Tribolium castaneum: one gene and its partner. The protein of the gene in region 1 interacts with the protein of each later gene in a biochemical or structural test. Links are inferred from orthologs where the notes say so. Each region holds a gene or a part of one and is shown in the gene's direction. Other genes may lie near its edges.

Evidence for each region. The genes of interacting proteins can lie anywhere in the genome.
Region 2: of the proteins of per (region 1) and dco, one has a biochemical effect on the other in vitro, tested with the Drosophila melanogaster proteins (4 studies listed by BioGRID, with this or other methods). The link is inferred for Tribolium castaneum from reciprocal best matches to the Drosophila melanogaster genes per and dco.

What each region holds. Positions count from the first base shown.
Region 1 is NC_087398.1:320,652-323,995, forward strand, and holds part of per (period), read left to right. Parts: intron 1-495; 5' UTR 496-516; coding exon 517-602; intron 603-650; coding exon 651-731; intron 732-779; coding exon 780-952; intron 953-1,002; coding exon 1,003-1,107; intron 1,108-1,422; coding exon 1,423-1,550; intron 1,551-1,595; coding exon 1,596-1,803; intron 1,804-1,853; coding exon 1,854-2,069; intron 2,070-2,191; coding exon 2,192-2,377; intron 2,378-2,428; coding exon 2,429-2,592; intron 2,593-2,636; coding exon 2,637-2,756; intron 2,757-2,812; coding exon 2,813-2,977; intron 2,978-3,171; coding exon 3,172-3,344. UniProt on the Drosophila melanogaster protein: Essential for biological clock functions. Determines the period length of circadian and ultradian rhythms; an increase in PER dosage leads to shortened circadian rhythms and a decrease leads to lengthened circadian rhythms.
Region 2 is NC_087399.1:6,558,178-6,561,933, forward strand, and holds the start of dco (casein kinase I), read left to right. Parts: upstream 1-1,618; 5' UTR 1,619-1,919; coding exon 1,920-1,995; intron 1,996-2,063; coding exon 2,064-2,555; intron 2,556-3,756. Other genes in the region: ND-PDSW (NADH dehydrogenase [ubiquinone] 1 beta subcomplex subunit 10), read right to left, coding at 1,210-1,297. UniProt on the Drosophila melanogaster protein: Serine/threonine-protein kinase which is involved in the circadian rhythm pathway, viability and planar cell polarity.

The sequences.
Region 1 (3,344 bases):
CGTTCACGTAATCGTGCTCGCACAAAACGTACCCCAATCAAACGTTTGATCTTCGATAAAAACCACAGCTAGGGACGCAAATTCAAGTTTAAAAAAGCGCTCAGAAATGGTAAAATTAATCAAATCACGTGCAACTAAAACTGAAGTAATCACGTGTAAACTACGACCTCTGAAGGCGTTTTTTCAGCATTCATTTCTCCATTGAGACATATGAACTGCATTCGCGTAATTATTCCACAAAACCAGTTTGAAAAGAAAGCCATCGTACTATTTTATTAAGAGAAGGTTAAAACGTTATTTTATCAATTTCTTCATCATTCAGCTCCTGTTTCCAATTAAATTATTCCGAGAAAGCGTATTGTTTCCAGACGCTCGTGCACAAGCACGTTGGTAATTATTACCAAAACAATTAGTTAATTCATTCAATAATTCATGTTTAGCTGCCGATTCTACAAACATACTCATTCATGATTTTGTGGTTCATTTTCCATACAGATATAGCAATTTAAATTCGTTATGGAATCTGAATCCGGAACGACAAACACAAAAATCTCCGATTCAGGATATTCAAACAGCTGTAGTAACAGCAATTCGCAAAGAAGGTAAGCAACTGAAAAAGCGCTTGCTTTTTCTAACAATTAATATTTAAGTGCAAGCTCTAAGTCCCGCCACAGTGGGAGTAACTCGAGTAGAAGTAGTGGCTATTGTGGGACTACTAATCCGGACGAAAGGTAACAAAAATCACACTATTTTTACTTAATTTTGTATAAATTCTCTAGCGGCGAGATTGGATTCCAACCACCTAAACGTAACAAAGAACACAAAAAGAAAAAACTCAAGTCGGCGAATTCAACAAATGGTGGCAACGTTTCGTCAGTTGCAGCAACCGCGCCTTCAGACAATAGAAACATTTGTGTTATTTTAAAGGAAGACAGTGCTGAAGCAACCATGGGTTAGTAATCCAAAATTGAATTCTTCGAATTACTGGGGGTTTTCTTTCAGGTGTTGAAGTTCTTCCGGTTCCTGTTGTTGAAACAGCGGTTCCTTCAACCGATTTAGTTGAAACGAACGAACCCGACCCCATCTCCCCCTCAGTGCCAGTCACAGGTAACAGTTATGATAATTAACTAACGAACTAATCGGCTAAATTAATAATAATCATGGTTTATTGGTGCTGTTGTTTTACACCCGTCAGGAAAGGAAAAATTTAGAAAATACATTAAACAAAATTAAGTTTCTAACTTTATCCAGAAGGAAGATGAGGATGTAAACACATTTGCCCAATTTTACTTTTTTCAATAAATAAATTTACAATACTTTGCATTTTTTTAACATTAGACTAATCGGGTGTATGCGTTTGTGCTTGGCGTAAAGGTTTAGGTGTAACACATTGCCTGTGGTATGTTTTTTTGCATATGTTAGCGGAGACACCACCTCCAGATAAAGAAATGTCCTGGACCGACCAACAAAGCCAACACACCGAAAAAGAGACATTGAATGCTGCGAGCGTTCCAATGGAAACCTCCGTTGAGAAAACCAAAGTCACGGAGGTAAAACTTTAGAAAAAATCGATGAAATAAACAAATCGATTACAGGATGGTTTCTGCTGCGTCATTTCCATGTATGATGGAGTTGTTTTGTACACAACCCCAAGTCTGACTGCAGTTTTGGGTTTTCCGAAAGACATGTGGTTAGGGAGATCGTTCATTGATTTTGTGCATCCCAAGGATCGGGAAACTTTTTCTAGTCAAGTCACTACTGGCATTGCTTTGCCTTTGGTCGACTCTCAAGGGAAATTCAAAGGTGATTGTTTACTCAAGCAAGTGTTTGGTCACCGAAATTTTTATTCACAGATATTAAAAATTCGCTTTATGTCTGCCTCCGTAAATATAGAGGGCTCAAATCGTCCGGCTTTGGTGTTGTTGAGAAGGCAGTGTCGTACCAAGCGTTTCAGTTGACTGTTACCTTCAGACACTTGAATGACACGCCAGACTCGAAAAAACTGCTAGACACCAATGGGGGAATGTTTCTCGTAGTCGTAGCAAATCCTGTATATTCCTCGTACAAAGGTAAAGATACAAATAACGGCTAGAATACGACACACTAAGCAAAACTTTGCAAAAAAATTAATAAATTATCTAGTACAAATCTAGTTTTGTGTACTTGGGATTAAACGAGTAAAATCTTTCAGTTCCTGAAGAGCGAGTAAAGTTTGCCAAATTTGGCATGAGACACACCGCTGCGTGCACTTTCAGTCATGTGGACCCGGACGTGGTCACAAATTTCGGTTTTTTGCCACAGGACATGTTAGGAAAATCAATTTTTGATTTCTATCATCCTGAAGACATGTCGTTCCTCAAGGAAGTCTACGAATCTGGTTGGTTTCCAAACTGTTGTATTTGAACGAATTTTGAGAGTTTTCTTTCAGTTATGACCATGTGCCAAATAGCTGGATCGGTGTTTCGCAGCAAACCGTACAGATTTGCTGTGCAAAACGGCGGTTTTGTTATGATTGAAACAGAGTGGTCCAGCTTTGTCAATCCGTGGTCAAGGCGTCTCGAATTTGTAATAGGCCTCCATCGGGTTTTACAAGTACGTATTAAAAGTGTAGAGAAAAAGTTTAATTTGTCGTTTAGGGACCGAAAAACCCGGATATTTTTGACCAAAACAAGGAAGATGAGAAAAAATATATCCCTGAAGAAGTACTCAAAGAGAGTAAGGTGATTCAAGGTGAAATTTTATTGTTACTAAACAAGGTAAGTTATTAATAAGTAAATAACGTTCCTGATGTTAATTAAATTCATTCGTTTAGGAATTGTCAAGGCCGTCCGAAGCGGCAAAACATGAGGTTTCAAAGAGATGCAAAGATCTTGCAAATTTTATGGAATATCTTATGGATGAAGTAAATAAAAGTAATTTACAACTAGACTTACCTCAAGATACCGATCCCACCATTTCGGTAAGTCTAAGACGAATGGTAAGTGCCCCAATTTTTAGCATTCTTTAAACTAACGGGCACTGGTGACTAACAAATTATCCAAATGAGATTTTAGCCACAGGTTAAAATTACAAACAACAAAATTAATAATTTAATAACAAAAGGGCTTATTCTTTTCTAAAAAATTTCAAAGGCAAAATTTTCTTTATGTCACGAGAGGAATTATTTTTCAGGAACGTGATTCTGTGATGTTGGGCGAAATATCCCCACACCATGACTACTACGACAGTAAATCGTCGTCAGAGACACCCCCTAGCTATAACCAACTGAATTATAACGAAAACATCCAGAGATTTTTTCAAAGCAAACCTAAGACCACAATTTCGGACGAAAGCAGCGAACGTCC
Region 2 (3,756 bases), on another chromosome or scaffold:
GCAAGTTCTGTATTTAAACAAGGTTTTAGACCAAAAATCAAGTTATCCTTTCTGTTGTTATTAAACTAAAACGAAAAAATCACAAAATTTGGTCAAAAATGACCAAAAATTTACCTTTTCTCAGCGTTTATTCAGCAAAAACTCAATTATTGCACAAAATTTTTCAAAAAATAAGCCAATAAATCACAGAATTACGACAAAGATGACATTATGTTTGCAAGTTCTAAGGATTTAAACAAGGTTTCAGACCAAAAATTAAGTTATCCTTTCTGTTGTTATTAAACTAAAACAAAAAAATCACCAAATTTGGTCGAAAATGACCAAAAATTAACTTTTTCTAAACGTTTATTCAACAAAAACTCAATTATTGCACAAAATTTCTTAAAAAATAAGCCAATAAATCACAGAATTATGTCAAAAATGGCATTATTTTTGCAAGTTCTGAAGATTTAAACACGTTTTTAGACCACAAGTTTTTCTTCCTGTTCTTATTAAACTAGAACGAAAAAATCGCCAAATTTGGTCGAAAATGATCAAAAAATTACCTTTTTTAAGTGTTTATTCAGCAAAAACTCAATTATTGCGCAAATTTTCTTAAAAAGTTAGCCAATAAATCACAGAAATATGACGAAAATGATATTATTTTTGCAAGCTCTGAGGATTGAAACACGTTTTTGGACCAAAAATCATGTTTTTATTCCTGTTTTTATTAAACTAAAATCACTAAAACGAAAAAATCAGAGGTTTGCAGAAATATGTTAAAACTAGGATAAAATTTGGTCCCCCTTTAAACTAAAATTGACCTGTTTTAGCATTTTTTCCAAACTTGGACAAGACTGGAGATTTCATGGGGTCACCCTGTTTGATATAGAGTTTATTTCAATGATCATTACATAACACACAAAACTGTTAATTGTATGTTCAGTTTTAAAAAATCCATGTCAACCCATTGCATACAGTTCCACAGAAGCCCCAATGTTCAGCAAAATAAAATCTTCACTGCATATTTTGATTTAATTAAAAAAATGTTTTGAGCCATAACCGCTCATAAAACCATAACCGGGACAAAATGTAAAGGGCCAAGACAGAGCTGGACTGCCTATTTAAACCAAAACATTATCTAAAAATCGCGAACATGTCCTGGTAAAACCAGAACGTTTGCTCACTCAAGGGGCAACCACAAGTTTGAGGTTAGTTGGGGCAACTTACCCCGAACCCAAACCGTCGGCGTCACTAGAACATTGGCAACGGAATTGAAGAATTTCTCGACAATATTTCGGGGCTCCACTTCTGGCATTGTTATTTTTCGAAATTAAATATTTTAAGCTTGAACCCTATGACAGTTGGTGACTACGGCGTGAAGTTGGCCACGAGTTGGATAATCACAATTTGGCAATTTCCCCCTAATTAAGCCGAATTAACGACTGGTCATTGTAATTTCAATCGGATTAATTACGATTCGTGTTTTGTGTTTTAATTGTGCGTAATTAAAAAACGGAATGGTGTGAAGTTGGCGACGTGACAATTGAGCGGCCGATCGAGTCCCGACGTACGTTCGGGCCCGTGTTTATTGTTTGGTGATACGTGACGTCCAAGGTCGCGTCTGTGATGAGCCCAGTGGCGCAAGCTGGCCGTCTATTTCTCAGTTGTTTCGTGTGGTGTGTCACCAAAAGGCCATAATGAAACGCGAAATTGCAAAATTAATCGTTCTTGTTTTGCGTTTTTGACGAATCTGTGATAATTGTGAAATTCTAAACACCCCAACCGCTAGCTGTAAATTCCCTAAAAATAAACAAACGAATTTCTAAGCCTTCTAGTTACGTCAAATTTCCTATGATAGTTGGCTAATATCTATGGCTAATATGGCCGCCTGAAGTACGACAGCATTTCATGTCTTTTGTTGTGTGAAGTGAGGTGGAATGGAGCTTAGAGTGGGCAATAAGTACAGACTAGGGCGCAAGATAGGCTCCGGGTCCTTCGGGGACATATATTTAGGTGAGGCGCGTCCGAAATTCCACTGTAAACAAAGGACCCAAAGTACCACGATTTTGCCCATTTCGCAGGTACCAATATTTCCACGGGGGAGGAGGTCGCAATTAAGCTAGAATGCATCAAAACGAGGCACCCGCAGCTCCACATAGAGTCGAAATTTTACAAAATGATGCAGGGGGGAGGTAGGTATGAGGCCCCAAAAAGTCCCAAAATTCACTCTGTTCCAGTGGGGATCCCCCAAATGAAATGGTGCGGCTCGGAAGGTGACTACAACGTCATGGTGATGGAGCTCCTCGGACCATCCTTAGAAGACTTATTTAATTTTTGTTCACGTCGTTTCTCCCTGAAAACAGTTCTCCTCCTAGCCGACCAATTAATATCACGTACTGACTTCATCCACTCGCGGAACTTCATCCACCGCGACATCAAACCCGACAACTTCCTCATGGGTTTGGGCAAAAAGGGTAACTTAGTTTATATAATCGACTTTGGGCTAGCGAAAAAATACAGGGACGGACGGACCCACCAGCACATACCCTACCGAGAAAACAAAAATCTAACAGGTGAGCCAAGGCCGACTTTCGTAACAATTGCGGAACAATGTTTGCGTCAAATAAGCCTTTAAATCAAAGTGTTGTGAAAAAACTTGCATTTTTTATATACAGGTGTCTGTTTTTTGAGCTCCACCATGGGAACTCAGTTATTATAAGAGATACAGGTCGGTTAAATTAAGGCAAAGGTGCGCATGCTGAACAATTATCTGGAAGAAAATTTATTGGAAAAAAACGGAAATTTGTAATTTCGTTTTTATTTTTTTTTCAAGCAAAAACCAAAAGAACTAGACGTTTTTAACTAGGACGTTCTTCAGGCACTTTTTTATAGGGAATCTAAATCTGTCATCGTATTTTCCAAGACGGTCTTGATGTCAAAGTTACAACACTCAACTTTGGTTTTTCTTATGGAAGCAATATTTGCTTTTTGTATTTTTAAAAAGTTTTTTCATTCCTGATCATTACGACGTATCACATGATATTATCGAATCATACATGCTGATTAAAATAGAGATAAAACATTTTGCTTAGAGTGCTTGGAAAAAATATCAATAATTTTGTTTTGAAGCATACTAGATGTTGGTGGTTTAATTGAATTTGGATCTGGAAGGTTAAAGCATGTAAGATTTGATCAAATCATGTGATACATCTTTCTAATCAGGAACAAAAAGACTTTTTAAAAATACAAGTATCATATTTGGCGACCATAAGAAAAACCAAAGTTGAGTGTTGTAACTCTGACATCAAGAACGCCTTGAAAAAGGCGATGAGAGATTTAGATTTCTTGTAAAAAAAAGAATGTTCTACTTAATCTAGTTCTTTTGGTTTTCGCATAAAAAAGTAAAAATAAAAAGAAAAATTTTTGATTTGTCTCAATAATTTAAAAACTAAAAATGACATCAAATTTTCTTTCAGATAATAGAGTTTTATAAAAGATTTTTTTGTTTCAACCTCTGAGAAGGGGTTAAAAATACGAAAATAAAGTATTTTCTAAAGATTATTTAAAATCGGAAAGAGTTAGAAAAAGATTTAAATAAGAATTGTAGAGCACAAAATTTTTGAAAATGTTTTTTTGACTTTTTTGGATATTATTTAAATTAATAGTGATGTGATTAATTGATTAAAGGTGATTAATTGTTAAAAAAACATTTGATTGCTATGAAAAATTTTCTGCTGAATCCAATAGTCGATTTTGGATTTAAAATTGTTTTTA